Linked DNA regions of Kluyveromyces lactis. The protein of the gene in region 1 interacts with the protein of each later gene in a biochemical or structural test. Links are inferred from orthologs where the notes say so. Each region holds a gene or a part of one and is shown in the gene's direction. Other genes may lie near its edges. The genes, in order: PKH1 and LSP1.

Region 1 (17,348 bases):
GCATCTACTTTAATCGCTAAAGCAAATGCCAAAGAAAGAAAGGGGTTGATAAAGACCTTGAAAGAACATGCAATCAAGTTAATTCAAAATGAACACGGTGCCGTTGTTTTCATAACTTTATTAATGACAGTCGATGATACTGTTCTCGTCTCCAAGGCATTTTCCCCACCAATTAAGGAACATCTTCCAGAATTGATTGTTGATAAATTTGGTAGGAGGCCGCTCTTATTCCTACTTTTAGGATTAGATGGTAAATACTTCGGTCCAAATATGAAGAATGAACTACAAAGATACATTAAGATGTCGGAAACTACTTCCAAGAAGCCATTTGACCAAAGAAGACTTGAATTATTAAAAAGGTTCGCACCAATGATTTTATCTGGCGTAAACGAACACTACAAAACCATTCTAGATGAAAACATCGGTTCTCAATTTGTCGCAGATTTACTCGTTAACGATGATGTCTATGAACAACTTTCAGAGTCTGATCAAAAGTTGTTTGCCGAGCTTGTGGACACCGTCGCCATTTATTTCAAAGGTGACATTTCAGAAGAAGACCACCCTATTAACAAACCATTTTCGGCAAGGTTGCTAAAGTCTCTCATTCAAAATGGTAGATACAACGTGAAAGCAAGAAAACTAGAACCTCTAGAAAAAGTTCAGGGACTTGGTATTCCATTTGCTGAAAAATTTTATGAAGACATCATTGATTCCAGCAACCTACTCGATTGGATCAACAAACCCAACAGTTCTTTTACCATTGTGGCATTGTATGAAGCCTTACATGGGACTGAAGAAGGGGAACAATTCGATCATGATTTGAAAAAAGTGATCAAGAAAATAGAGACGAACGATTCAAACAAGGGTGCTCAACTACTTCTAAAGCTAATGAAGCATTGAGTATGTATAGTCAAGTCGTTATATAGTTTGGCTCTAAAATATGTATATTAAAGATGATATAGCTTCTCATCATTGTGGACGAAGGACGTTCTAGTCTACTATTAAGATTCACACTTCCTTAAATGAGACTATCATCTGCGAACCAGAGATAATACAGCTAAGAACATTTATTCCTCAATTCACTAATTACAGCAGTGGCATTGATGGCTTATGAATGACGATACTAAAGAGAAACCCATTTCAACTGCCTTTGAAGTAACCGATGGATTATATGCTGTTTCACCATTAATCGAGAATGTGCCTCATGAATATGAGTACTCATGTATCGAATATTATGGTCAGCACATCTACCTGGGCTCGACTTCAGGAGCGTTACTACACTATTATGAATTAGATGTTGGAAATTTCACACTGATCTCGGAAGTCAACTTCAATGAAGACAGACCAACAGGAATTGATGGCATAACGCTACTGCCGAAAATTGATAGAGCCTTAGTGTTGTCCGAAGGGAGACTCAAAATGTTTCTCCTGCCTGAATTTGCACCTGCTTCAAATATACCAAGTATTATGAATATAACAGAACTTTCACTTTTGGAGTTCTGTGAGAAAACACAATGTTACTCGTGTTTCTTATACACGAAGAACTTGGTAAAGCGAGTAAGCATAACAAGCAAAGAGATAAAAGTCGAACAGAAGTATAACATCAAGAGAATTAGAAAGGCCATTCCTTCAAAAGACGCAAAACTCCTTATGGCAGCTGTTGATAACTCTTACTCGATAATCCATCTTGAAAATGAGCTGGTAACTCCTTTATTCAAAGTGTCTGAGACAGATGATGAGGAACTCTCACCAATTGTGACAAATTTTGGAAAAAGTGAATATATCGTCACATGTGGAATATCAAATGACCAAAACTGTATGGGACTTATATTAAACGATGATGGAGAAATCACTCACGGTACCGTGGTTATAGAAAATTATCCACTCACAGTTATAGTTGATAATCTGTATGTGCTATCAGAATTACATGGTTCTAAATGCCTTCAAATTCATTTAATAAAAGAAAACAACGACCCAGTAGTTATACAAAATGTTAGAAATCAAACCCCGTTTCATATTACAAAGTTGCAGACTCCTTTCATAACGAGACAGTTTAATAAAGAATTAATTGAAAAACTAAGATATGTCCCTTTAATTGCAGAAGAACTCCAATTTCGAGAAGAACAAGAAAAAGCATATGTGGCCAGACAAATTGCGGTTGAATGCCACATGATTATCTACGGAAAATGTGGTATATATTCTTTATGCCGAAAGCCATTTCTACTCACCATTTCGAGCTATGGCGAAGATACTCTTCCAATTTTGAAGTCTTTCATCACTGAAGAGTCACAAAGCAATTACCAGCTTCTTCAAAAAAGCTACTTGCAGTTCCTTTATGTCTTGCTGTTAACATTACATATGGAACACATTGATAAAGATTTAATCGATGCCTGGCTCAAATATATTGATGTTGCAGATATCAGAGTATTAATTTACCTACTTGGTTTCGACATTTACGGAGATTTGTGGATTCCTAATGGGTTATTAGCATTTTCAAAAAAATTGCATTCATTGAAGCTAGTTCACAAGTGTAATGACGTTCTGAACATCATACAATACTTGAAATTTCAACTAAAAGAAACGTGTTCCGATAGCTTAAAAGATAGTGCGAACGTTTATTTATCGCTCGATTTAATTCTATTACGTGATAACATCGCTAAAGGCAGTTCAAATGTTGATGAATACGAGGCGACTAGTTACCAAGAAATTGCTAAAGAGCTTTCTAAGCATAAAAAAGAACATTCAGAAACTTTAATAGCCATATATGAAAAGACAAAAGAAGTGACCCCATTGCTCGAAATACTAAGACAAACAGATCAAAAAAGGCTCATAAATTACCTGAATACTCATTTCCAAGAGCTACCCGATACTTACTCTAAAGAAATGCTGACTGATGATATTTCATCAGCTTTGAAAGATTATAACGATGACACTGTAAGCGACGTTTTACAATTAATAAACAATTTAAACTTAGATGTGAAAAGACTCATCTCATCCATCGAAGACCCTGATACAAAGGTTCTCTTGCTTGAAAAACTGGGTGCGAGTTCCACCCAAGATTTGACATTTCTTTACGAGTACTATAAAGCTAAACTTACTGTTTTGAACAGCAAGCTAATAGAAAGTTCCAATTTACCAATTACGGAGTACATTACCAACATGACATATAACAAGTCTCCTTTCAAAGAGTATTTGAAAAATAAGCTGGGTGAGAAAAAGGAATATGAGGGTTGCTTCGATGTAGGGACCAAGCTTCTGAAAATAGAAAAGGCTTTAAATATAAAAGAAGGTTCTATTATTGATGATATCGATGCTTCTTTCGTTCTACGAATCATGATCACAGATATCAGTGTATTAAAGGAAAAGATCGGGTTCGAAAAACTACTTGATATATATTTATCACGGAATGATTTTGCTACGGTGGAGTCCTTGTTACAAGCCAACGATAAGGTAGTGCTGAAAGTTATCGATCACTATCTAAGTCTCAACAATACTAGGGTCATTAGTCAATTCCTTAACAAGAATACGTGTTGTATAAACGACTCTGGGCTACTTATAGAAATTTTGGAAAAAATACCCCCAACCATTCAAATATCAGTGTTATCGGGTTTCCTATTTCCGTTACTCAGACGAAAAGACGAATCAACATATAATCTACAGATTAAGAAAGGAATTTTAAGGCATCGTACTCAGAATATAAACAATATCGAACGTTGTTTAGAACTGTGAAATAGTGTGATATATCATTAAGTGCATTGTGAAAATATATACATGAAAAATAGAGGTTAATCTTGTCTATAGGCGATCTGGCTTGTAATCAAGCTGTCAATTCAGAGACTGGTGCCAAACCGGAACAGACTTTTTGCAAAAGTTCTTTTTCAGTTGAAGCCAAGTTGCTTTGTTCTAAACTCTTTCTCACAATTTCGCTATTTTGCAGAAGTTGCTCTCTTTTGTCTTCTGCTTTTGTTAGTTTGGCAAAGTCCTTCTTTGTGTATGGCTTGAGAATGTGGAAACTACCCTTGACGGATTGCTCAAGTTTTTCTAGATCCGGAGAAATTTGGATGTTTTTTGTCAACGGTTCCACCTGCAATTTCAAAATGGAAGCTGGCACGTATTCACCAAAGTTGTCTTTGTTCGCTGTCATACGCTTACTGACGTTCTTTCCATTAATTGTGACACCATCATTCAATGAACGATGCACAGGGAAGTCGGCGTCTTTTAGTGTTGAAACTGCATATCTGAATGTCCTTGCACTGAAAGTTGGAGCCAGAGCAGGTCTGTATCTTAGCAACGATAACGGTGTTGGATCTTGTGGAACATATACAGCCGAGTTGTGAATATTTTGCACAACGTTTTCCGATCCCAAATTACTGGAAATTTTCAACCCTGGAACGGTTTTACGAGTTTTCCTTTCATCGCTTCTACGATTCTGTCTGGTACCCAAATTTTGAACTTTGCCTGAAATCTCACTATACTCATTAGTACCGGTAATCTTTGGTGTCTGTCTTTTAGCCGTACCTGTTTGTACTACCGGGCCATTGGTTCCTCTAGTATCCGTTCTTTGTGTTCTTTCTCTAAAATTTTTACCACCACGGTCTTGACCATTACGGACTTGTCTATTATCCCTGGGTTTATTTCCTCCGGATCTGTCATCAAATCTTGCTGTTTGTCTCTTATCTTCCCTCCCAGCTGACCTCACCTTTCTGTCAGATCTTGGTTTACGTGGTTCTCTTGCCTTGATAGGAACTTCCTTCACTCTTTGCAAAACTGATGCTAAAAAGTCCGGAGAGACAGAGCTATAAGCCCTTTTAGAGAATGTAGAAGCTAGCATTATTAAGTAAATATATTAATGCTAGTCACACACTTAAACAGATCACAACTTGATATAGCGTTACCTGGTTTATTACAACCCTATACCTAAATATCTCCGTGATACCATAAGAACTAATCAAGTTCATCATACTGAAACGAGTTTCGCACTCTCATAGGTTTTATGAAAGATCAAAAATTTTCAAGGCGTTCAAAATGATAAAAACACACGTGATCTAAATTTCTTATGATGACAGAAGGAATACAACATTCGGTGGGTTCTGACGTTTTGATATGAACTTAATACAACGGCGAGTACATACAGCGATATGCCTCGTCTAAAAATTGATGTTGTCAGTGGAAAGTCTAAAACAAGTCAATTAATTATTAAGAGGTGATATATATATGTATAGATAAAGCGATCAAGTCGTTTCAGATAATCTCGATTGGAACTTTCATCTCTGTAGCCAACTTTTTTAGCTGTTGAAGTTGTTCACTAGATGCTGCAGATCTGCCTTTCCGTACTTGGATGAAATCAATAAATTTCAACGGTATGTCCTGAGAAGTTAGGTAAACATTATTTAATGATTTCACAAGGTTGAGGCTGTCTAGCATTTCCTGGATCCTTTTGATATGGATGTAAACGTTACTAGAACTTCTCATTCCACTGATGACATCCGTATCTTTTCCAGTAATGCCGGGAGACAAATGAACATGGTTCCGTGACATTTTTTTGATGAAACCTGAGTGAAGAATTGAAATGCAGTTTGATACGTTGGTGCCATGAACCAATTTACTTGATAGTTGTTCTATGTTGGTAATTGGTTTTAAAACGTGTTGCGATGGAGCAATTTGCTTCAATGTATGTCCTTGTGTTGCACAGACGTACATTATCCCTGTATTCGGATCAGTTTTGATATGAAATCGTTGCTTGTCATTACTAGCAACAATATGCTGTATTTCTGTTGACGTTGCTTTCAAGCTTTTGAGTCTGTTATGCTGCAGTATTCTATCCAATGCAATGTAACCATCAGAATCTATAGGCAAGTTTTCCTTCACAGCACCATGTCTCAGCAAATAAGCCAATGCTTTCGAAATTTTCACACTTCTGTCCTTAGGTTCCTGCGAATGCGAGGTGTTCATAATGGTTCAGTTAAATCGAGCTTAGCACTTTCTGTTTTCCCCAATAGCTTTGACCATGTCGTTCTCTATCGGTCATACATAACTAATGGAATGAAATATATATGACAACGAAAAAATAATTGGATGGAACCTAATATGAGTCAGATGACACACACGAACGTATATATAGATGTAAACTTAGGAATTACAATGTGCACTGTAGGCACCGTACGTAAACGCCTTGAAGTTGCATAGTAAAAATGATAAAATAGAGTTTGATTAAATAATAGAGACCGTTGACCAACATAATTCGTTATGTACATGATAAAGTTCCCATATTTGGTTCACGAAACCTGACGGGGAAGGAAAAGAAAAAGAAGATGTAAATTAATGATTGTGTATAAGCAAAATACTGTAACAGAATGCGCCATATCAGGGACTGCAAAACGCATCTGGGGTCAAAGACACCAGAGTTAGTAGTCGAGTAATAGAGTCCCTTCAGAAAGGACGAAATCAGGGGAAAGACAGGTCATCAATCTGCCTCATAATTTGCTATTCTGTTCCAGCTGCCTATTTGTACAAGCCAGCACCACCACCACAACAACCGCCACCTTGGGCCGCCAGTGTCTTTTTAGTAGTCTTGATAGTTTCGTTGTCACCCAATTCAGTGTCCTTATGGATGTTCAAGTGATATTTGTCATCCTTAGTCCTCTTACCTTGAACGACATTTTGTCTTAGAAACTGTGCAACATCGTTCATAAGCTTGATCTGTTGATCAGGTGGAAGCTCTGGATTTGGTGGATTGACCATGCTTTCTCTCATCTGTTGTCTTGCTGCCATTAGCATGCGCAAGTCTCCTTTAAAAGCAACGCGGGCGGCTCTCAACCCGTTTCTGTAAGCTCCGAGCGCTTGAGACATCTCGTGTTTAATATATAAGGATCTAGGTGACTTAGTTTGAAGCTTTACTATACGGTTTTCTTTGTCTTATGAGACTCTTCTCTGTCTAGTTATCACAGTTGATATTCGCCATTCTCATTTATATATATATTTTTTTTTGTTCATATTGAAGAAAAAAGAAAACTGCATAATATAGTAAACTGTCGCCAGAGAATGTTACAAACGACGGAACCAACAATCAGCCGAGTGTAGCAACATCTGCGGTACTTGATGGATTGTCCCATTAAGGTTACTTTCTAATGCTTGCGCGTGTGTCTGTATTTATGTATGAGTTCATGTGTAAATTTCTTGTAAGAAGAATGGTAAGATATATGAGATAAAGTATTGGCATATCTCTTCATCTTATGAAGACAAAGCTCGAGTGATGCATACCAGTATGCATGAAAACATAAGATCCGAGGATGGCTCTGAAATGACAGATGGAGCCTAAAACCACCATTATATGAAATATTTGATGTGAGTGTCCGACGAAATCAAATTTCCCAGGCGCTAACACTTCTGGGAACCTGAACCCGTAAATCACTGCACCGGCAATATAGAACATCGCTTCTAACAAAACATACTTCAATTGAACTCTGCGAATGGCCTCATATGCACCAAATTTCCAAAACCCAGTAACAATTGGAACTATCCCACTCAAACCGAATGTCACGTAAAACATTGCTCTGAAGGGTCTAAAAGTCTTTGAGTTAAATTTGTCGTGTAGTGCAAACACAGTGCAGATAGTTCCCAGAATAACGGTGAATACGGTGAAACATTTGAAATGGAAAATGTGGTCGTGGAATCCATAGTATAACAATGAGATAATGGAACACGTAATCATAATAATGATTCCCATGTAGTCCACTTTAGACCAGATATGACAATGCGATTCGGAGTGCTGCTTTAAGCAATGGAAAAAGCTGCTGCATCCTAAGCACAGCACCGAACCCAATAGGAAGAAATGGATCATAACACTTTGCATCATAGTAGAGTTTGGAAATTGAGGGACGAGAAACATATCTGCTAATCCAACAAGGAGCACCAAATACGTAATAGTCGGGACCAAATGAGAGTAAATGTTTATCGATTCATTATGGAATAAGAATAACGATTTGACACATTCCTTTACACTTTTAGTTTCACGGATATACCCTGTAATAATCTTATCATTGTCTTGTTGCCATTCAGGAAGTTCACTATATCTGTATAACCTTTTTATCGTGCTTGAAATTGCAACAGGAGTTAACTGCTCTAATTTTTCAGAAATAGATCTCCTGTGTCTGATAGTCGTAGTAGCACTCATACTTGTCTTCACACAATTAATATATCACTGGTTGTTGGCAGCACTATGTATACATAAACTTCCCGCAACCTTAGAGTCTTTGTTTTTACTGAAGAATAATAAAATTGTCTCAAATCCAGCTCATCTCATCTCATGATATTTATTTAAGGTGCGAAAACTTCATTTTTCAACAGTTTTCATTTTATTAACCGTTAAGTTTCTTAAAAAATGCATATAAATACGTACTACCGAGAGGGCATTATACGAAAATCCTAACAGTAGTAACCACTAATCCTACTCTTGATAATCACCTTCACGACTATGATCCTTTTTTTTTTTCACACTCAAAGTTTTCTTGTACCTGAGTCTATTGATGTGTCTATGAATTTATATTAGTTCAAGTAATCTCAACACATTTGTTGAGCCCTTGCACTTTCGATTGTACAGCAAAGATTGATTCTTATGATCATCTCCATTTTTACAACCGGTTGGTTGAAGTACTTTCGTAGTAGTTAGTTTCATGGAACGATTCTGCCTTGTAGATACTTCACTGCTTTTATAACTATTTGCAAAAGTCTCGTTTTTATGTCCCTTTATCTTGTGCCAAAATCTTTTGAATTTGGTCCTCCGATGATTAAAATTGTCATTCAGAGAATCGTCACTATTGTGATAATATTTCTTAAAATCTCTGTATTTGTAAGTAGATGACTGCTTGTAGTCATCCAAGAGATTACCTCTACAAGGAGGGACCTTCCACGCCATTGATGAGATATCCGGAGTCAATGGTGAAATTGGTGAATTTATAGGACTGGATTTATACCTGTTCACCTTTAACAAGGAATCGAGTACAAAACTATCCGTGCACCATTCCTTTAAGTTATCAGGTGAAAGGTCTTTGAACCCCTGTGATTTGCTCCATTTCTTCAATTTGCTCTTGAATTTGATCCCATGGACGTATGCCTCTAAATCTGGCAACATGAAGACATTGTAAGAGGTTGCGTGTGCCATTTTTTTATGAGTATTTGGAGACTGTATATGATGATATTCAATTGGAACTGGCAAGAATAACAAAAGATTTCTGTCTTGTAATTATTTATAATAGTATATTTCTTATGTTATGCTCGATGGATCCCAGAGATAATGTCATTTATAAATGCTTGACATGCAAGTATATTCAATGACACATATGACGAACAATAACATCATCGTTAATTACTTTGTGTTCGGAAAGTAACTTGCTCGACGATCCTAGCGCTAGGTGTCGACATTCTCTGCATCTAGACGACAAGAAGCGAAAACAAACATCCACTTGTGCTTCACATGACAGTTGAAGCTCCACACATGACGAGAGTTTACGGATATACGTCCGTATTGAGACGCAAATATATATCACGTGACCACTAGATGTTACTTTAATAAATATGAACATTTGGAATTTACTTAACATTAACATTCAAAGCAAGAGAAAATACGTGGAGAAGAAGAGAGGAAAGAAAGAACGACAATCAAGTCTAGAAGCAATTGTGATAGATATACCCATTAGTGAATAAGGTATTGAGTTGCTAGGAATATTAAAATCCCCTGATTTTTGAATCGTCCTTTTTTTTGTCTGGCTTGTCTTCTTTTAGCAATTGAAGTTCTTCATATTTTAAGGTTTGATGGTTGAAGCATCTCCTTTTTTTGCATTGTAAACATACCCTTAAGCGAATATCAACTAACAGCGTTTTGGTATCAAATATTTCTTTGTTCAATATCGAAATTTGTTGCTTTGCATTTGTACTGATAAAAATACCATTCTAAGAGTTTCATCAATATGTCTTCTGAAGATTCTTTTAACAAACCCATTATACCTACGTCAGGATCTGCCAGATCTGTTATGCATAGACCAACGCCACCTCCAATTCCGATGGAACTATCACATCCTCCTCTACCCACTATCAGAACGACAGATGATTTATCTAACCTCTCAGAAATGAAGCCATTTGGGAAGCCGAATCCTCCTGTTTTAACTAAAGCATTAACAGACGTTGACAATTTTATCTCTTTGGATCCGAAGTATTTGAACAGAAGAAACGACTCTCTGTCTTCAGTCGAAACAATTGATTCCACGCGAGATGATAACATTTCAATACCTAAGGAATTACCCATTAGCGAATCAATGCAGCGTAGGCAGAAGGAATGGGCAGATCGTGGTGCTGCAATGATAGTGAAGGATGTTCCGGATAAGCAAACAGGGAAAATCACAAAGCAAGTCATCAAAAAGGGGATTAATGATTTCAAATTTGGAGAAACGTTAGGTGATGGATCTTATTCAACAGTGCTGCTTGCAACTTCAATTGAAAGTAATAAAAAATATGCGGTCAAAATTTTGAATAAAGAATACCTCATCAAACAGAAAAAGGTAAAATACGTTAATATTGAAAAGAATACCTTGCAGAGGTTGAAGAATACCAAAGGAATCATCTCTTTATATTTTACCTTCCAGGATGAATCCTCTCTATACTTTTTGTTGGAATATGCACCAAATGGCGATTTATTATCTCTTATGAGAAAGCATGGTTCAGTCAATGAAAAATGTACACAGTACTATGCAGCACAAATAATCGATGCATTAGGTTTCATGCATGACAAGGGAGTTATACATAGAGACTTGAAACCAGAAAATATCTTGTTAGACGTTGATATGAAAGTCAAGTTAACTGATTTTGGTACTGCAAGGCTTCTAGATAGTACTTCGGAGGATGACCTTAAGTACGATCTGTTGACAAGATCTAACTCCTTTGTTGGCACAGCAGAATATGTATCACCAGAATTGTTGAATGATAACTACGTTGATTTTAGGTGTGACATTTGGGCATTTGGTTGCATTCTTTTCCAAATGATAGCCGGGAAACCGCCATTTAAGGCGAACAATGAATATTTGACATTCCAGAAGGTAATGAAAGTTCAATTTGCTTTTACCGCTGGCTTCCCAATGACTGTGAGAGATTTGGTGAAAAATATTCTAATTAAAAACCCAGAAAGAAGATTGCTGATCAATCAAATTAAAGCTCACCAGTTTTTCGCCGATGTAAACTTCGGTAACGGCTCAGTTTGGGATAAAGACCCCCCAGAACTTGGTCCATACAAGGTTTCCGCCCGTGCTTTGCAATCCTCGGTACCGAAGGTGGCCTCGTCTCCGGCTATTAATCCAATTCATGAACCTGTTCGACAAAGCTCAGTATCACCGAAGATAACCCCTAAAAACACGACAACAGCACAAAGGCCAAATGGTGACACGACATCCACCACAACAAAACGTGAGTTAGACCCTAGAACACAGCGGATTTTGAATAATGTTAAAAAAGAAATTTCTCAGCGGAACCACAGACGGGCTGCCCTTAAACCATCACAACAATACTCCGGCTCTCCAAGCCAAGGTGATATCACTCCTAATCCTGCAACAGCAGCAGCAGCAGCTCTTCAGCAAATTAAGCAACCATTAAATGAAACGACAGCAAAATCTTCAACTTCTTCTGCGGGTTCTGGAAGAAGTCAAAGGAAACCTAGTGGCTCCAACCGCAGTGCAAGTACAAATTCATCATCATCCAAGTCTGCTCCTCCTTCATCGTCTTCTAATATCAGAAAAATATCGTCCGATTTATCTCCAATGAGTAAATTAGATATAATGTGGTCGTACTACTTAAAAAATATACAAGAACGTGTGATAAAGATGGGGGAGATCAATGTTACCACGCTCAAAAACCAAAGTCTTGAAGCGAAGATTAGCAAGTCAAAGCTCTCCCTCTTAGATGCAGACGGAAGGGTGCAGAAAAAAAATACTCTACTGACTCAAGTTGTTAGAGGAGGCGGAAATGTAACTGGCTTTCGTCAAGAGAACTCAAACTTGGTTGAGCATGACTTTTATAGTGAGTATCTGATTGATCCTGAAAATGTTGAAGCGAGCTATCGTAAGCAATCTGGCGCAGATGAGGCTTCGCATGAGGGTATGTCAAAATTGAAACATTTCTTTTCAAAGGCACCTGATGCACCTGCAGAATTTATCGCACAATCAGAATATATTAAAAGAATGTGTGTAATAACGACATTCGGAAGGTGCCTTTTATTTGCTAGAAAAAACAAAATTAATCAAAATTCAAACCTTTTCTATGATCTAGAATATGAGATAGATTTGTCACAGTTAGGTGTTCGCATAAAGGAGGTTGTACCAGAGAAGAAGACAAGTTCGAAAGATATCTTCGTTGTACAGACGCCATTCAAAACATTTGTATTTCAAACGGACGAATCAGATACCCTGGTATGGTTGCATTCCCTAACTTCAGCGATTAAAAGCAAAAATGAAAGATTCACTAATAATGAAACATCAATCAATCCCATTGCTAACAAAGCGGCATTACTAGCTGAGCAGGAAGCCGAAACACAACTTAATGGGTATAAAACTACAAAAACTCCTTTCCTCACTAAAAGAAGGTCCAGTTTTACCTCACAGAGACAAAAACAAAACAATAACGGGAAGCTGGGTACAAGACCAATATCAAGTGGATCTAGAATGCTTTCCCGGAGCGAGCAAATCTTTAGAACAAACAAATGATCAAAATTCTAGTAAGAGTCATAGCTCAATGCTCTAGAGAAGTTTGATGGGCACTTTCTAAATGTACGGTACTCTGAACTGCATTTGCTGATTGAAATTACAATGGATATCTGTATACGTTTATATATTGAAAAAGTACTAGAATTATTTAGAAAGAAACCTCCCAGATGGCCTCTGGGCCTAGTTCGTCATACTTCTCCCTTGTGACATAGAATGAATTGTTAGAATGCCCAAACACTTGCTTTGTTAAGATCTGGGCGCCTAAGAAGGTAATATCAGCGAAACCAATCTTCTTCCATTCCGAGAAATATTCAGGGAACTTTGGTGTCATGATGGTAGTTGGTGGCTGCACATATTCAATCTGATTTAAGATTGGAGCAGTGGAAACCTTCCCAATTTTCTTCTGTTTAGAATCTAATTTAGCCGCAGCATCCACCTCTCTTTTATACAGTTCCTCTTCTGGTTCACTAACTATATGGTCTTTTAGCAGCTGTGATAGAAGAGCTTCCCTGAACCCTTTTATATGTGATGTCCCTCCAACAATAATGACATTTTCCCACATTGCTTTAAGCTTGGTTATGTCATCAATCTGGCTCATTGCTTGTCCTACAGCTTTCGAGACATCCTTCAACAGATCTTCATAGCCTGTGAATCTCTGCCTGCTTACAGTAATACGATTACCATCAGTATCAAAGAAGTCATTTGTCTCTAATTTGCTGTTGTCCAGTTTTTCTTTGTTTTTGTTTCGTTCGCGCTCTTCTAGAATTTCTCGAGTATCACGCCCACTAGTAACAATTGTAGCCACATCTAAAGTACCTTCTTCGTCATCTTCGTTGTCGATAGCGTATTGATCCATGATATCTTGGGACAAAATTTCGTATATATCCGACCTTTTTAAATCCTCAATTTGGGACTCGGTGAGATTTGGTAAAGCTCTCTGTAGATTCTTATTTATCGAGTTTCCACCGGAAGTAATCTGTCTTATGAAGCAGGTTAAGGGTGTATAGTCCATAATTGGTACAACATCGGTGTGAAACTTGCCAATATCGATGATCAAACAATTTTGCAAAGAGCCATAGGCAAATGAATTAGCTAACGAGCTAGGTAATATAACAAAATGCTTCAATTTCATTGCTTCAAAAGCTGTTCTGCAAAGTAGTTCTTGTTGGAATTGAGTCCAAGAGTAATGCGAAATTAACAAAAATGGAATATTAGAAAGAGCTGTATCCCAAGCGATTGGACTATCGTCACTCTCCTGTTTTAACACAGATTTATAGATCAACTTTAGAAAATATTGGAACGCATCAATATCGACAATGCTTCCCTTCACAATGGGACAGATAACAACATCAGTAACAGAGGATGTAAAGTTACCATTTGCATCTCTGTAAACTTTTGTTGGAATAGAAATCGAAGGCGGCTGCAAAGTATCTTCTCCAATACCAAATTGAACCAAAGTCCTATTGGATCCTGGATATATTATCTGGACAAAAGTACCACATGTAGTAATGTGAGTGGATCGGTTAGTAAAGTTATCTTAGTAGTTTAAATAACTAATGTTTTCGGAATAATGAACAATCTGGATACCGCACATACGAAGTAACTGTCTTGTCTTAATGGTGCCATTTTTGCTAAATGGTTTCTAACAATACAACAAAGTGCTCGATTTATCGTAACAATACGAGTTACAGTTGCTAGGTCAATGACGAGACTTTTCCTATCCAAGTAGCTAATTCAAAGTATAAACTTGTTTATCTTCTATTACTTTTTGAATTTTTCAAATAATGAAAACAGTTATCTAGCTAACATTAGCCTACTCAATGATGAATATGACACGCGAAACATTGAAATTAGTTCTATGACACGCAAAAGACCATACGGAAAAGAGATTGATACATAATGGAACAGTCTATCAGGAGCATAGACGGTTCTAGATCTTTGAGCAATGTTGGCGCTTCACTTATAGATCGTGAATCGATCAATCAGAGAGCACTACAATTATTACAGAGAAACAGAAGAAGACGTTTGTTGTTAAATAGAAGTGAAGACAAAGCAAGATACATCCAGCCCGAGCGTTCTGCTAGCAGCCAGCAGATTCACCCTCCAGAGCATCATATCAGCGCACATGAAAGAATAACAAAGGCTCGGGGAACTAGATATAAACCTACTGACCTAGCTTTGGCAGAAATAAGGAAATATCAAAGATCCACAGATTTGCTTATATCCAGAATGCCCTTTGCGAGGCTAGTGAAAGAGGTAACAGATCAATTCACTACCGAGAGCGAACCTCTTCGATGGCAATCCATGGCAATTATGGCTCTTCAAGAAGCAAGTGAAGCCTACTTAGTCGGTTTATTAGAGCATACAAATCTATTGGCACTTCATGCTAAAAGAATTACAATTATGAGAAAGGACATGCAACTAGCTAGAAGGATACGAGGTCAATTTATTTGAAGCAATCCTTCCTATCATTTAAAGTACAGATTTATCTGCTCAGCTTCAATTTGCTAATAGTTTGATGTCTATTGGAAGAGCAGAAATTATATATAAGTATAGAACTTTATATTGGTTACATATGGTTACAAATTCATTATTTAACGGGTGAAAATGGTCAGAAAGGAAAGCGTCCAAGGTGAAAGTGATGTACATCAATTTATTACTTTCACGTAATTCATTGGTACCAGACCATGCTGTTTGTTACCTTGATATACCTCACCCACATACCAGTCATCATTTATGCATTCGACTAACAGCAGGATATCACCAGAATTGAAAAGTAGTATGTTATTTTCATTGGGTTCAGTGTACGAATACATCGCTTTGACATATTTTACGACTGGATTTTTCATGGAATCAACGATGGGTAGATTCAATTGTTCACCATCAATAGTCACACGTTTACAACGCATTATATTCAAAGAGTTGCTGAAAGGCAACACTGTTCTGCTCACAGTTAAGTTGCTAGAAGCACCAGAGCTCGTTCTTGATGTCATCGGACGATCATTCATTTCCAAGATTTCTAATGCTGTTTCGACATCCGATGCGATGGATTTTCTACGATTTGCAGTTGGTGGCTTCAGAGAGTTGTTATTGTCGTTGTCAGAAGTATCCGTATCCATTGTGGGCGAATACATTGATGAAGGTCTAGATTTTCTTCTATTGCGTGAATTCCAAGATTTAGCAAACCTTTGAGAGTCATCGACACTTGAGGCCATGGATGAGAGAGAAGTCGACATGGAATCATAACTTGCCTTATTTTTCCTATGAGTAAAGTCCGTTGGATTTGAAGAAGTCTCTTCTGAAGATTCTGATAATGTTGCTCCATGTCCTGGCTTTGTAACCACTTCTAAATAGTTTTCAACGGAATGCGGAGCAGAGTTATCATTTAGGACCTTCGATTCTATGGAATTAACAAGGGCAGCATCAGTTTTTGGAGTTGGCAACCCTTTATCGACACTTAATGCATTTATTGAATTGAGCCTGGTGTTCTTCAGCTGGGTTGATAGTCTTTTTATATTTTGAACATACCTATCATTCTTTGTTAAATCCAACGCCTTGTGAGAACTCTTCGGACGGATCACATTAGATGGGTTAGAGTTAGCACTTGAGTTGTGCGTTGAAACTGAGTTAGAGTTTTTCAACTTGATTCTTCCAGTACCATGGTGGTAAGAAAAGTGCGATATTTCAAGTTCAGGTGTGAAGCTGGAAAGTTTTTGTTTTAATTGTTCCATCAAAGAGAGTTCCAGTTCCGAAGGCTGGGTTGTAAAATCAGCGTATTGTTGTAGTAATTCCCTAGAGACCTGGATTCTTTGTGTTTCTAAACTTTGCAATTCTCCACTAATATGTCTCCATTCCTCAAACCAATGTGCTCTAGCAGCTTTACATTCATGATGTAAGACGGTTTTCCTACGGTGTGATTCTTCCACTATCGAAGACCATTTTTCCAATTCTCTCGCATTTTCTTTCCTTTGGTATTCGCCCAAGGCAGTTTCTTTGTTGAGCTGATACTCTCTCAGTTTATTCTCAGCACTGAGTAATTCTTGATCTATAGATTTCAAGGCTTTCTTCTTTTCATCTTTCAACTTCCTTAAGTTTTCCACGTTTCCCGTTATCGTTGACCATCTGGCTCTATATTGCTTTAAGAAATCACTCATCGTACCGACATTTTCCCTGTTGAGCCTCTCATATGCCTTAGAATGACCATTGGCTATTGTCTGCTGGGAGGATTGGAAATATTTTAAGGATTCAGACATATTATTGTAGTCCGCATATCGTTCGAGATTGTTCATTATTCTTGCACTGAGTGCTCCTAATCTTCTTGCATAATCCATCTCCAACTCACTTCTCTTAGTGAAACAATCGAGCAATAACTCACAGGTGCATATACCTCTTCCAACATGCTGAAGAAGAACGGTAACACCTTGATCGTCTTCGTCCCAGAAACTTTCTTGATAGTTGTATATTTGAGTCATTCAATCGATAGCTTTCCTTGCTAATACCTACTCTTTGTTATGCCCTCAACTTCCCTTCAATTGTAGATTGTTGAATGACAAAACAGATACCGTACATCTAACTTCAATCCTTGTGAATTGTTAACATACACCG
Region 2 (15,909 bases), on another chromosome or scaffold:
TAAAAAGAAACTGAAAAGTGAGCTAAAGAAGAAGAACATGGCATGGTCCGATAAGACACTAACTAAAGAAGCCAAAGCTGAAAGAAGAGCAGCTATGGCCATCAAGAGGAAGGCAATTGAAGAGAAACTTCTGCGGGGCGATGAGGAATCAGAAGATGAAGTTGAGCAAGACTGGAAAGACCTTGTAAGACAAAACAAGAAAAAGAAGCATAACTCCATGCAAGGAAGTTTCGATGATTTATAGTCAATTACATATCGTAGATAAATCTATTATAATATAAATGTGCTTGTTTCATTCGAGTCCCCGTCATATAACAATGTGTTTTCAACCGGTACATATTGATGTGTCAATAATTTCACGCATTCTTGTGATACCATTGCACCAAGAATTGATGCCATCGCAGGGCTGACAAACGTTGTATCATGTCTATCGTTTTGTAGCGATAGCAACTTATTGAACTTCGGTTTTTCACTTATAGTTCTAGTTGCCGATGAGAGGCTACCCATTTTAATTGCATCCAAATGTTTTAAGTTCTCGAGCATTTTATCTATGAGTGGTTCAGGTATCAAACTATAATTCTCCTTTGCTAGAATGCGCATGATTTCTGATTTATCCTTGGCAGCTTTACGTTGATATACTGCTTTCTGCGCGTTGAATAGTTTAGTTGAGGATTCCATATCTGGAATGAATGCGGACACAGGTAAATCGCCTCTCAAATCGTAAAATATTCTGATGCATCGTACAAATTGGTATACCCATCGATTAATTGTAGAATTAGGTTCAGCATGAAAACTATTCAAGATGTTGGTCAAATTGTGAGGAAATGGTCCTGATTGATCGTATAACAGGAATGAGGACCTCTCTGCTTCCACAAAGTTCAAATCATTGGTCAAGGGTCCAGAGAGTATAGAATCGTGAAGTTCGATGAACTCTGCCCTCACTGATTTTCTATTGATAGGAATATTCTTTGACTTTAATGATTTTCCCACATTGTACAGTAGAACGGAATAAGGCAAGGAGGATACCTCTTCCTGTGACATATTTTTTACATCGAATGATTCGTGATATTCTGCTAGTTCAGGCCACATACGATTGAGTCTTAAATCGAAAGTGAAATGTCCATGAGAATCAATGACACAATGAGGTTCACTGCCTATAAGACGAACAAATCCCAAGTTATCGTTGGTGGATGCCATTATCAGAGGAACTGCTGAGAGTTTCATGACACGTTGTAACAACGGACCAGCCGTGCACAAACATATGACAATAGAGAAAGAGTTCCATAACTTATGTTGTGAATCAATTGGAACTGCATTCTCGTTCCAAATATGGAACGTAACATCTGGATTCATACTTTCTAACGCATCAAAACCTAAAATATCCGAGTTTGACTTGTTCACAAAATCTGATCCATTAGACGAGCCAAAAACTACAGTAATCTCATGAATACCCATGAGAGCCAAACTCTTGACACATTCTCGCATCAACAATGTCTGATTATCGTCTACAACGCACACATGAGACTGAGAAAGTAAATCCTGGCCTGAATGGCCCCAGATCATCAACTGTCGATCATAACGGTCATCCAAACCACCATTTATCTGATCAGCCATAACCTGTACCAACGCCCTTGGTCCTTGATCTTTAACACTAGTTCTAATGCAAGAGAGCCCGCCTTGATTGGAATCAAATGACGTATTTATCATGAGATGAGCTTAAAAGTTCAAGCGAATCAGTTGGATTACCAAAGTTCAAGCTAGATCAACTGCATACCGTTACCCGGACGAGTACTTCAGCATTACCCTAAAACTTCATAAGAGACTCTAAAGAGCCAACATAAGGCCGGCAATACACTGTTAGTTCGTCATTTCCTGGCCCTGTTTTTGCTACGGCTATATCATAAACCAACACCACCATCACCAGACAAAGCGGAAGCAGGAAGTACTATAATATCATCCACCTACATACGATTCTTTCCAGTCTCGAATGATAAGCCGAAAAGAAGAGTCGAACAAAAGTTTCTGAAGAAACCAACATAGAGAACCGTGCCCGCAATTTGCAAAGAAGAGAAAAATTGCGTGGCTCATGCCATGTCAATGTCCCTAGAGAAAGTAAGTGTGGGTCATGTTCTGTTTCTCTTTCTCTTTCTATGCATTTTTTTTTTTTATTTGGGAATAACTGAAAAGGGCAATAGGCAGTAAAAAAATAATCAGAGTTTCTTGGCCTGGGACAGAACCTTTTTTGCTATCTACATATAACTTTCCTCTATATAAAGTAATTGATTATCTTTCTACCTGTCTTGTTTTCTGACGGATTAATTTTAGGGGTCTTACGCAGGTATATCAAGTAAACTTCGATACATAGTTTAATCTAGTTGAATCGAAATTTTTTTTGGGCCAATTTACTCTTCTAGTGCTGCTTTTAGATTAAGAAATAGGGGAAACAGAAAATATTCGATATCAAGAAGTTAAATTAAATACCGATACTAGTCTCCAAAAATGCACAGAACTTACTCTTTGAGAAATAAGAAGGCTCCTACAGCTTCAGAGCTCCAAACTCCAGCTCCACCACAATCTACTACCAAGTCTAAGTTTTTTGGTAAGGGTTCTTTTGCCTCCAGTATCAGAAAGAATACTGCTGGTCAGTTCGGCCCATTGTTATCTAGAAAGCTATCCTCTTTAATTAAGACCGAAAAGGGTTACTTGAGAGCTTTAGAAGTTGTTGCTAGTGAACGTCGTGTTGCTGCTAAACAATTGTCTCTATGGGGTTCTGAAAATGACGATGACGTGTCTGACGTGACTGACAAGCTAGGCGTTCTTATCTATGAACTGGCTGAATTGCAAGACCAATTCATTGACAAGTATGACCAATACAGAATTACTTTGAAATCTATCAGAAACATTGAAGCTTCTGTGCAACCATCAAGAGACCGTAAGCAAAAGATTACTGATGAGATTGCTCACTTGAAGTACAAGGACCCTCAATCCACCAAGATCCCAGTTTTGGAGCAAGAATTGGTTCGTGCTGAAGCCGAATCGTTGGTTGCTGAAGCCCAATTGTCTAACATTACCAGAGAAAGATTAAAGGCTGCTTTCAATTATCAATTCGACTCTGTGAGAGAATTAGCTGAGAAATTCGCATTAATCGCTGGTTACGGTAAGGCCTTACTAGAACTATTGGACGATTCTCCAGTGACTCCTGGAGAAGCTAGAGCCGCTTACGATGGTTACGAAGCTTCAAGACAAATCATCATGGATGCCGAATCAGCTTTGGAATCCTGGACCTTGGATGTCGCTGCTATCAAGCCAACTTTGTCCTTCCACCAAACAGTCGATGATGTTTACGTCGATGAAGATGGCGAGGAAGGTGAAGCCTTAGCTGCTGAAGAAGAGTGGGCTGGTGAACATGAAGGTGGCCAAGAAGAAGAAGCTGTTGAGACTACTGAAGTTAAATAAGCTCTCGCGATCACATGCGTTAGTTTATTTTACCAATGCCGCTACACTCACTTCTTTAAAAATGTATGTGGCTAGCGTATATTGGAATGATTTATTGTAGAATCAAATACTCGTTCCTGCCGTGTACGTGCCCTCTTTAACTTTTAAAAATGAATTTTTCCAGAGAGCTCGCAATGTTACTGTGTGACAGGTAAAACGGTAGTATGTGAAGTCCGTTATACCATTGCTACTCTCATATTCTATGTAATAAAACATTTCTATATCTCTTTTAAGTAACACTAACTTCTAATATCGTGCTGAGTTAATAACAGCCATTGGAATTCGGTCGTAATATCGATCAATCTGTTTTGAATTTTCCTGCTGGCTTCTCTAGGTATGAATAAAAACGGCCAATAAATCACAGGAAATAACACTCGAAAAGTCTTTGGATTTAGTGGAAAGTTCGAGCTAGCAAGGATAAGATACGGAACAACGTGATAATTGATTCAAGTATCCTTTTTAGAAACATAAGTATATTCATTTTAAAAGAAGCAGTCAGTTAAAGTCTTAATAAGTTAAGTTAAAACAATTTACATAGCATGAAAAAATTGAAGGAGCTTCATTTACCAGGTTTTGAACCAATTGGGTAATAATTTGGGTCATTCAAATATTTCAAATCCTCGACTGGTCTTTCTGCCAATGGAGTCACACGGACATGGTGTCTTGTAGATTCAGAAGCATCGAAATCATATACACCAGCATGATACAATCTACGATTATCCCATACAACTACAGTGCCCGGCTTCCAATTAGCCCTAACTTGAGCATCATGAGCATTATCGATAACCTGATACAAAAATGCTAGAAGAGCATCTGATTCAGGTTTCTTTAGTTCGACAATTTTTCTGGTGAACACTTTGTTGATGTTAAGGACTTTCTTCTTCAAAACTGGATGGACTCTTACCACAGGATGGATAACGTCATAGATTTCATGTCTTGAAATGCGCTTGGTAGGATCAGGAGAAAAGGCATCGCCGTTTGGTGGTAACGCGTGAACGGCATGTAATCCACTCAAATATTCTTGCAAGGATGGCGACAATCTATCAAAGATTTCAATCGCATCACCAAACAAGGTATCACCGCCAGATTGAGGAGCATCAAGCACTGCAAAAAAGGTATAACCGGATGGCTGTAATTCAAATGTGATGTCTGTGTGGAAATACACAGAGGTCAAAGTTTGTTCGAAAAATTTGTCATAGTCTTCTGTTTTCACATTTTTGTAAACCACATGAATATAAGGATGACCCTCTGGAGCTGGGGAAGCGTGATGAACGTGCAATTCACCAAAATACTTCCCATACTCTTCAATGTATCCAGGACCTCTATCGACAAAGTCTTGATCTCTAAAAATAAGAACACCTCTTTCAGCAGTCAAAAGAGCTAGCTCATCCTTGCCAGCATTATCCAACTCACTAAGTTGAAGGCCCCTAATTTCAGACCCCAGTTTTGGAGTAATAGGACTGATTTCAACACCACTTGTCAACAAATGGGGAAACTTTGGATTAGCTTTCAATGCAGGATCCTCATACTTAACGAAAGAATGTGGAGGGAATTTCTCATTAGGATCCCAGCTTGGTAGATAATCTTTGTATTTAGCTTGTTTTTTTTCCTTAGCGGATGTTCTAACGACACCGTCATCGTCAGCGTTCAATTCGGCGGTGATAATTCCTTTGTTGGCTCTCCAACTTTCTAAGGTTGATACAGGCATCGTGTTCTGTAGTTGTATTGACCTTCAGTATTGATCTTTCGTCTTTTTACTGATGTGAAGAAACGGTGCCCAGAAAAAGAAGCTCAATCCCATCTTCTTATATACATATCATTTTGATGTCATGTAGTGCAACAAGTACACTTATGAACGTTCCTGATGTATGATACGAATAAAGGCTCGCTCTCCTCTCGACCGGAATTTATGCGGACGGAGTCATCCTAAGTCACGGAAAGTCTAATAATGACTAACGTCAGCCGTTCAGACGTGCATTCGGCATAAAGGGCTGAAAATGCGACCAATACACTTAAGATAATATCACGTTATAATTCATCAAATACAGTGAGAAAACAATGTCAGAGCTCGATCGTTTTTCCTCTACGACTTTTTTTCACCCGTCAATGACTTAGGAATAGTTTGTTGATTTGAAATATCAATGTCTTTACTGAAAGATAGGAAAAGACACGACAATTTCTCTATATCTCCAGATTCTATCACTTGTGGCCACACAAAGAACTTCCTAGCCTTCTTCTGAACCTGGCTACCATAACCTGGTGAACTGGAGTTAAAGTTCCAATAGTGATGCAGGATATCGATTTTTGAGTCACGTGTTATTCACAGCAACAGCGAAAGGACATGCATAACAATGTACTAGTGGGTGTTTTTACAGGGTTTGGCTGATAGTCAGACGAAGTCTAATTTGTTCCGTTATATGGACTATGATTTTTACTGTGAAACCTCAAGTACGAACGTATACCTATTCATCAATGTTAATGTGCGATTGAGCCGTTAACAGAACTTTGGTGATAAGTGTAGATACATTTACGAAAACATTTTCCATGTCATTTCCGTGTGTTAACACTTTGTTCATATGGGTGAATCACTTATGGCTTCTGTCTGGGTACTAGACATTATTTCCTTATTCACACAAAATCTAGCTGTTTAGAGTAGATGGTTTGATATGGGCAAATATTATTGTTTTATGCTTTAAATTTTACGTATTTCAAAAGAAAATCGATGTATAGAAAAACAGAGTGCACACCACTCGCGCAGCTTATAACAACATATTGGATGTCTGTTTGAGACTTTTAAGCGTGGTATTAACAGGTTAACTTCAAGCTTTCTGATGTCACTGAAAATGGCTCATGATCGATAATTTGCTTGGAGAGCCCCAATAGGATTCTTCTCAAATCCGCATACAACAGAATTGTAAGTTGAATTATATATCAAATTATGTTCTCACTTAACCCATTGGTTCTGGAATATAACTGATCTGATTTATACAAGCTCTATACGAGTATGAATTCTGTAGTTCTCATTGGCATTACCCTATCAGTAATTTCAATCTAATCGTATAGTATACACTGGCCTGTAACATAAGGGTAAGGTACTGTTTCAGCAATTTGCCCCCCGGACTTAAAAAGATCACTTCCAAAAAGCCCATATCCTTAGGGATTACACATTTAACTACTGAAATGAATTCTCAAAGCTTTGAATTAGTTTAGTTAGATATTCTATTAAATATCTGACATTTGTCAAATAGTTGGTTAATACTCAGGGCAGCTAATATCACGTGAATTAACCATTAACAATGTGTACTGTGCTATATCGTAACTCAATGCTGCATCAAAGAACAGACAGATTTATACGGTGAACGTTTTTGGGAATTGAGGATATGGAACTAGAGGTTTGTATCATAAGCCACCTCTGACATTAGCATTTGATGATCCGTAAAAGCGAATACTGAGCTAGTAGCTGGGTTTTGAAATTATGGCTTACAGCATAAGTTACATGCTGAGCTTCCTTCGAGTGTTCAAAGTTGGCTGTCAACACAGTTAAGGTGGTGCTGCAATCGTTTTGGCTGTAATTGGCGAGAAAGCGGCTGCAAAAACTAAAAAAGAATCAAATTGTATTTCGCGTCATAGGTCGTCCGAAAAAGTCACTACTGTGATAAATGAGACAGAATGTACTGGGTAGTCTATCTTTGTTTATTTCAAAACAGAGAAGCTACATATGTCTGTTAAATTATCAAACTATCAATAGACGGAAAAAGACATAAAACTGACATTCGGTAAATTTTAATAATGAGATATGAAGCCACTTATTTGTTCACTAATCGGTATTGATGGCTTAGCAAGTGTTATGATAGAATATCCATAAAGCTATACTGCGAATGATCAATAGTTGGTAAAATACGATATCTATCTCATATGTATTTTTTGAAAGCATTATGTGTCCGTATAAAACATTGAAACCTGTAGATATGTATGTAAATTCTTTCGCTCAAAATGAATAATGCCGATGATTCGACATCTATGCATCCGTGCGGCAGGCCTCGAATATGAAAGATGAAATAGACGTTATTTCTTGCGCTTCTTTTCTTTTATTTACAACTGCTTGGTTTTGATCCAACTTATCTGCACCAACTTGCATATTTTTGCCGACGCAGAAAACCTTGCAGAAAACTATTCTGAAACTTCTTTCAAACCAGTTGTGATGAGAAACATAGCATTCAGGCACATTAAAAACCCGTCAAGGAAGGTGACTGAAAATAACAGATTCCCACAATTATGTTCCAAAAACGCAGACAATAAATAGCGGGTTGGGTGCATAATTCTCATCACTGGTCATCTTAATAGGCTTAGGATGGACCGAAAGCTTGAAAGTCAATAGGGCTTTTGTTTTGTGTCTACTGTGAAATATCAATATAAATATGGGGTTCAGGTGAGTCTATGATCTATTGAATTCTCGATGGATTTTTTTTTACCTTTCTCTGTTCTTTTCTAGTCTCTTGTTTACTACCAATCATACTGTTTTGAGTTCAGTGAATTGACTCAACAGAACGACTCAATACCCCAATGGAGTGTAAATAAAAATAAGGAATTAGAGAAAAGTTCTTCATGGGAATGATGAAGCGGTCTACATAGGACACATAAATTAGAAGTTTATAGATACAAAAAACGAAGGGAAGTATAAACATAAAAAGAGAAACAAAAAAAGACTGGACATCAATTCCTTTCTAAGTTATCAATGTCTACGCCTCAATTTCTTAATACGAGAAGAGATCCATTCTGAGATTGGATCCTCACCCTCAGTTTCGACACATTCACCTTCATTCAATTGTTGGCCAAATTCATTGACTAATTTCGGGTCTCTAATACAGAAAGTCAAGATCAGCATGGGCACACAGAAGACTAAACCAACAAGAACTTCGTACCTTTGGACGTGTTCGTAAGCTTCAACCATAGCGGCCCTAATTGGAGTACCCCATTCATAATCCAGAATGAAATCCAATGGGGAATCGTAGGCAACAGCGGCTAGATCCGCGTCTCCTCCCAAATTCTTTAGCAAACGTGGGTACAGCAAATTGGTCCAGATAGCACCAGAAACGGAAGAGCCAACAGCACCACCAATACTAAAAATGGTCATCAACAATGCGGTAACGGTAGCCATATGTTCGTGGGAAGTGACGGACTGAGCCGTTGTGACTGGGTAATCGTACATACAGCTTGCAACGCCCCAGACAACCATGGCACCAATGACACCAGCAGCAGAGCCAATACCACCTCTGTAACGGAAAAACAGACCCATGACGACGAAATACAAGCAGGCTCCAAAGATCATGTAAAGCTTTAGTCTTCTAGTTCTAGCAACCATGAAACCAAAGACTGGAGAGTAGATACCCGCGACGAAACTGTACAAGTTCATAATTCTTGTTGCAGAAAGATCAGTTTGATTCATACCGACCAAAAGAATTGTGTAAAGGTAACCAGCTGCCATTACATAAACGAAACAGACCAAGAACATCATCCACATTGGAGCCCAAATACCACGGTCCTTCAACAACTTGAATGGAGCAAATGGAGCCTTAGCCCATTGACTTTCCCAGTAAATGGTGACAGGAACAAGGAAAACCCCAAGAACTAACGGTCCGATGATCTTACCAGTTTTCCATTCGTTCTCAATACCACCAGCAATTGTCAATGGAACAAGGATGCAACCCATAGATGCTGTTAACAAGAGTAAACCAATGATATCAAGTTTCCAAAACAATTGGACCAAAGTTTGAATGAGACCATGGGTTTGATAGAAAGTCTTTTCTTGTTTCAATTCCATCCACTCTGGAGTCTTGCTTGCCTTCTACCTCATATGAAGTACACAAACGATTAATGGGATACAACTTAAGGGGAAGATGAATGCCCACATTGCAATGTTCCAAGACCAATTTTCCAATGGGTTGGCTACCTCGACGATGTTACCGGAAACCCACATGTTAATGATAGCTGGCCAAGCAGGAACAAAGTTGTACAACACTCTCCATCTCAACGAAGAGTTATCGGACAAGAACAAAGTAACTTGAAGCATTACACCAACAAGTCCCACGTTATAGAAAACGGACCCGGCGCAATATTTCTGAATATCATACGCTTGCGATTGAATCACGGTACCAACAACGTAAAACACAATGGCAACGATCATTAAACTCAATCTACCAAACACGTCGGACAAACCAGCAAAGAAAAGTTGTGCAACTGCTGAAATCATCATGTTCACAATACCAATGGTAGTTAAAAGAGAATGCGTATCATAATCATTTGCTGCATAAGTCATATAAATATCTCTGATACTACTGTCCAAAGAATAACCATACGAACAAATAAAGGCGGACAATAAGAATATAGTCTGGTAGAACCACGTATCATACTGCCTGGCCATGATTTCAGCCTTACGAATGACAAGAGACTTGGTAGCCAACAACTTATCGACATTCCCGAAATCATTAAGCTTTTCAGGCGTCAAGCTCTCATCTACTGCAACCTCTTTTTCATCGTTGTTGAAGCCTTTATTGATGTTTTCATCCTTCACAGTAATACTGCTTTCTTCAGCAACCGACATTGTGTGTTAATGCCTGTTCCTGTTTACCTCAGTAAGATTAATATACATAATATACCATCCCCGGAAAAAAGAGGACAGAGATTCCCAATGAAAATGAATTCTATGCAACCATTATATACAATACGAAGATCGAAGATCAGAATAAGACTTGTCATGTGTAAGAGAATTACAACGTTCTTCACACAGACTAAATCCAAGGGGAGAAAGAAAAGTATTGTGAAAAATATCAAAAACTTGGGTGTCAAATTTGTTTCTTTAAAGTGCTGAAGCGATGAGATGAGATATAGAACAGAACTGACATGGCTAGCAGCAATAATAAACACTAGAGAATGGCAGCTCTTCCGATTCCTTACCCTAAGAAAAAAAAAAAAATCTGTTTCACTAAAGGTTTCGAGCCTGTTTTCTTATAACCACTCAGATAACAGAGTAGGAGTCGACCCAATTTTGTTTCTAAGAGCCAAGAAGCCATCGGATGCATGCGGTTCATCCTCCCAAGTTTTGGTTTCAAATGCGGTTCGCATAAGATCTAAACCAGGTGCAATGGGTGATATCTTGATCTAACAAAATTGGCACAAAGCAAGATTTTGAGTTGTAATCCATGTCCCGTGAAATTTTCTTTTTCTCTTCTATGTAGAACCAGCCGTACGAACAAGCATAGTAACCGTAGGTTGCCAAGGAAAAGCTCTATTTTGGTGAAGTGAAAAGAATGAAATACAGTTAAAGCTTTCATTTACATTGTCGGAAATACAGGTCTTGGCGGATTACCGTAGTAGTATTGTTTCTGTGCCATGTTATTGAACACTTAGTCATATTATTACTTGGGCTTGGGGCTCGGCTAACGATCTCCCCCAATCTCAGTCACAGCAGTGCGAGATTATAGATACATGCGAATCGTTATTGGGTGTTTTCTTTTGAGAATGTCGGTAGTATGGCGGTGAGTCACGTGATACTAACAATCAACCACTAGTGTGAAAACAAAAAAGAACAAGGATAAGGCAAAAAGGCAACAGGCAAAGACAACCTTGGCTGCTTCGGCCGGAAGTTGAGAATCAGGTGTAGTGTGTATATGTCTAGTTCACGGCTGATAAATACATTTTCGACAAATTACAATAATAATAATAATAATAATAAATACACGGTTTAGCTTACGTGATAAATTAAGGCAGCAACAACAATGAGCTCGGAGGAAGAGTATATATTGGTCACTGAGTGTTAAGAACTTAAAAAAAAAAAAAGGACAGTGTTTTTCACCATACTTGAGCCTCTTCGAAATAGTCAACTCTGTATTTGGAAACATCTAAGTTGTTTGCCACTGTATCTCTGATTTGATCGTTCATTGGTCCTGGACCGCAACTCAAAATTGCTGTAGAACCAATAGCGTTGTGAAGATCTTCCACAATTAAGGATTGTAAGTCTGGTCTACCGAATAAGAAGTTTATTCTGGAAAATTGCTTGAAAAAATTGATTTCGCAATCTTGAGTTGATTCTTTGACGTCGAGTTTCTTTTCAGAGTCTGTTTCGCCAGCAGATGACGCAGAAGAATCTACGATTTGCTGTGTCGGCTGGGTAATATAGATGTTGATCTCACCTAGCCGGTCTTGGAGTCTCAATAGCTCTTCTCTAAACCATTCCAGTGGCGAAGTGTCTCTAATGATCCAGATCCATTTAACAGTATCGGTGGAACTTTCAGAAAGTGGTTTCGTTAAGGCATCGTAATTGGAGTATCCAGTTGGTACACCATTTCCACCAGTGATGATGATAGAATTGGAATAGTTCTTCAATGGGGCTTCTAGTCCGTAAGGGCCTTCAACTAAAACGTTGATCGATTGGCTTTTATTAGATGTGTTGGCTAGACTCTTAGCTAAGGATTTGGTGAGACCTTCCTTTACCTTGGCGTATATGTAAATGTGTTTCCCGTCACTGTCGTCGTCATGAGCTAAGATGGTGAATGGATGCGATTGCCAAAATCCGTATGGTCTCATGAAGTAAATGTAGACAAAAGCACCTGGGAACGGTTTCCAAGTCTTTGGTCTCGGAACTTTGATTTTGATTGTGTTATCTTCCTCGAACAATTCGCAATCTGCTTTGCTGAATACTCCAAACCATAGTAAACGGCAGACTCTGAAAAAATGGTCTGCACACCAAACAGCAATGGAAGCATACACGTATTCCATCCATTGGCCGCTAAAGATTCTTAAGTGATACCATAACCCGGAGATGTACAAAGCAGAAAATAAAAAGTGAATAGTCTTGAAGGTTTCATACCATCTGATACGGAAATATGCAGACGCTAAGAATAACATTAAGCCACCAGTGATTGTTGCAATTGCACCCCAATACCAATACTGCTCTTCCCAGCTCATAGCAAGATAGTCCATTTCAAGGTATGTCCAACAAGCAGAATGGATTAATGCATGAACCCACATCCCTCTTGCAATCCATTTATGATACACCAAGAAAGTTTCGTATGGCCACCCAGTTAAATACAACAATAGGTTATTTCTACCAGATAGTAGGAACACAGCAGGTGTATGGATTGTTGACATCACCCCTGTTCTATACTGAACCAAGCTAGATGTTTGCATGGCTACCTGATGTTTACTAGTGGTGTAGAAGTTGTCAGAAAAGATATCGTAATTGATACAACTTAGAATCACGTTCAAAGCAAAATAACCGAACAAAATGTACGTCTCTGCCCTTGTAGGAATAATACCTAAGATCAACTTTTTCCATCTAAGGATTTGCGTATGTTTGGTATTTGCCGGTGGGATGGTGAACAACCTTCTGAACATGTTTATCTTGGGTCCAACGATTTTTTCAACAAGTTTTGGACACAATATTCTAGACCAAGTAACCAATCCTCCAATAAACATACATCCAGCAAAATAAATGAATATGGCACCACCATAAAGCCTGGTATGCTTTTGCGATTGTGCTCTGGTCACGTAGGCTCTAGTGTAACGCTTCACTTTCCTTCTTGGCGCAATGATGGGAGAAGTCAGATTTGTGGATGCATTGAATCCTGGCGTATTATCGACGTCAATAGCTTCTGATTTAACTTTTGCATACAGTTCATGCAAGCTCTCGACGGTATGGTTGTATACAGGCTTACTATACTGACATCTTTTTATCATTTTCTCCAACATACTATCTAAACGATCGGGTTTCTGGTTATCAACGTTGCAAATAAGCCAGGACTGGAATCTGTTTCTTGTCGGTTGACAATTTGGTGCGTAAAGGGAACCAAGATCGTTGTTGAAGGTATATGCCTGCAATGCGTCTAAGCATGCCCAGTACACACTCTCCTCCTTGGATAGGAAAGTGTATTTGGCTGCATGACACCAAGATGATAAAAATATGAAGAACACAACCAGGGAATTTCGGCAGCGAACTTGCATTTTGTACTCGACTCGATTTAACTTTCACTGGTTATATATTTCGCCCTCTGAAATGAAAAGGAACATAACAAAGCTATACATATAGATCAAATCTTGGAATATTGATAACTGGACTGCAACAGTTGAAACAATGATGGAGTATTTATACAATTCTATCCATGCAACTGGCAACCGATAAATAGAGCAAAGACCATCGAGCTTCTCGACCTGGGCGGATCGCTCCGTTAAAGGCCAAGATTCACATCATTCGGGGTGTTATTCGTCTATCGGTGTTGTCTCGGTTTGATTCTCTCGTAGGCTAAAATCAGTTAGCTGCACTGAAAGGGCTTGACTCTCGCAAGTGTATAACCGCAATTGGCAATCGAGCATTTAATGATCTTACCACCGATCCAGTGAAATGCGCAAATGTAACAACAGTGCCAAGCGTTACCAACGAAATCATCGACTTAAGCTTTATGATTCAACATAATACTACTAAAATCTTCAAATTTTGTGGAAAAATTCCTCCTTCATCCATTGAACCTTGAGGCTCATACATCATGATCTGCATATTGTTTATAGCTAGAGCTTGTTTTTAGTAGGAAAAAATGGGATAAGGGTCATAAATGCCAAGAAAAAAAGGGTGCCATTTTACATTAAGTATACCTCGAAAGTATAAACAAATCAACAATTTAGACTTTCATCATCTTGAATCAAAGTATCGTATGCGACGTTATTACTCGTAGTTGCCGACGTAGAACGGAAAAAAATCATAGCTTCACAAAAAAAAGTGAAACAGAAAAATTGGGTGTCACTAATAACTTACATGAAATTGTCAGGGTATATCAAAATTTCTCCTCTTATGACTTATGGACGCTCAAAATTTCCACCAATTCTTGTCTTTTTCTGGCTGTCCAGGAGAATCTTATTGCGGTATGCGGTTGTTGATATGATCTTAGTTCGATGTAGGGTTCATAGAATATCACCTTGTGGAATCTTCAAAAAGAAAAATTCCAGAGCCCTTAATCGCCAAAAAAGCCAAGCTTAAAAATAATATAGAGTTTACGGTTTTTAAAAAAATTTCCACATTGGCGCTAGAAAAACCAAAAGAAGTTCGAACTTTAAAACGGGCGATAGACAGGGGATTCGACAGTTTTGATCTTTTTTTTACCTTAGGTTATCAAATAAAATTATTCAATGTACGTTGCAGCCTCACCATCATCGATGCAGCATGTATTGTTTAATGCTTCACCAGCAGGGTCGTAAAAGCTTGCCCGTTCTCGGAATGGTTTGTAGATAATTTTATGCAGGGCAACAAAAAGAAAAAAAAGATACTTTGGAGAGGACTAAACCAAATCGTTACAATTCCACCTAAAAACTGACAATGCTCTCCGAGGTAGAAATTACTCAAGTGGTTTCTTTCTTTTTCTTACTTTCCAATTCACTACAGAAGGTAAGAATGTGAATCGTTACAAAAATGCATATTTTCACTCATAGCTATTCGAAAATATTTGATGGAAGTGCTTCAAACGTAAATTGTGCTGTGTTTTAATGTGCCAAATGATATACACCTTTTTTGTTAGTTTGTATTTCATCAAGTGAAAAATGCGATTGAAGATTTGTTGGCCGTCTCGCCAGAAAAAAGCATCTTATTTTTTTCCACCATCAAGGGTTCACTCAACTGGAAAGATTGTGCTTACCCATCAGAACATTACTTTTAGGTGTTCACATTACCACGAGCCACACAATTGATGAATATCTCAAGGAACTCTTTAATATAAAACCTCACTCCATTTGATCGGTTGAATTCGTTTCCCATATTGACATGCCGGGCTGTAAAGCCAAGAAAAAAAAAACGGGTCTGGAATTTTAGACCCTTTTTTGACTAGCAAAGCCCGAAGAAAATACAAATTAGAAAAAAAGCTTCAAACGGTTAAGTATACCAATATATCTGAGATAATATGCTGAGATTTCTTTAGAAATTTACGTTGATTCATGGCTGGGTGTATTTTTCAAACAGAACGGGAAAGGGATTAAACAGGTCACGTGGACACTAGGACATCATGCAAGACATTTCTATATTGAGTACTCTCTTAAATTTTTCAACACCTCGACAGTTAAAATGCAGGAGCAGAATGTGCATTATATTCGCCTACGAGAAAACTACATAGCTCCAGGCAAAGAAAAAAAGAGTGCGAAAACCGTTAACCATGTCCTGGACACTAATAAAAACCGTAGTATATGAAAACATCACCTGATAATGCGGTTCAACAAGGAATGGTGAAACCTCGCATTACCTGGGTAACTCAAATGACCGCAGTTCCCGTCAGAAAGAACTTCAGAAAGAACTTCAGAAAGAACTTCAGACAATGCAGCTTATTTTCGTTGCCATGCCTACAGGAATATAAGGTATAGTGGAAGCAAATACTGAACACT

Evidence for each region.
Region 2: the proteins of PKH1 (region 1) and LSP1 form a complex in vitro, tested with the Saccharomyces cerevisiae proteins (2 studies listed by BioGRID, with this or other methods). The link is inferred for Kluyveromyces lactis from reciprocal best matches to the Saccharomyces cerevisiae genes PKH2 and LSP1.

What each region holds. Positions count from the first base shown.
Region 1 is NC_006039.1:1,050,202-1,067,549, forward strand, and holds PKH1 (serine/threonine protein kinase PKH1), read left to right. Parts: upstream 1-9,965; coding exon 9,966-12,743; downstream 12,744-17,348. Other genes in the region: PUF6 (pumilio-family RNA binding domain-containing protein), read left to right, coding at 1-900; CORVET complex subunit VPS3, read left to right, coding at 1,111-3,729; mitochondrial 37S ribosomal protein mS46 RSM28, read right to left, coding at 3,818-4,831; TPT1 (tRNA 2'-phosphotransferase), read right to left, coding at 5,242-5,952; MZM1 (Mzm1p), read right to left, coding at 6,502-6,849; IZH1 (PAQR-type receptor), read right to left, coding at 7,226-8,173; KLLA0_C12463g (uncharacterized protein), read right to left, coding at 8,540-9,160; ARP9 (Arp9p), read right to left, coding at 12,892-14,226, 14,340-14,369; centromeric DNA-binding histone H3-like protein CSE4, read left to right, coding at 14,643-15,197; formin-binding protein HOF1, read right to left, coding at 15,392-17,215. UniProt on the Saccharomyces cerevisiae protein: Serine/threonine-protein kinase which is part sphingolipid-mediated signaling pathway that is required for the internalization step of endocytosis by regulating eisosome assembly and organization, and modulating the organization of the plasma membrane.
Region 2 is NC_006041.1:1,270,448-1,286,356, forward strand, and holds LSP1 (lipid-binding protein LSP1), read left to right. Parts: upstream 1-2,499; coding exon 2,500-3,456; downstream 3,457-15,909. Other genes in the region: ATP-dependent RNA helicase SPB4, read left to right, coding at 1-244; ULA1 (Ula1p), read right to left, coding at 271-1,707; KLLA0_E14433g (TauD/TfdA dioxygenase family protein), read right to left, coding at 4,055-5,203; KLLA0_E14477g (ferric reductase family protein), read right to left, coding at 11,344-13,494. UniProt on the Saccharomyces cerevisiae protein: Together with PIL1, main component of eisosomes, structures at the cell periphery underneath the plasma membrane that mark the site of endocytosis.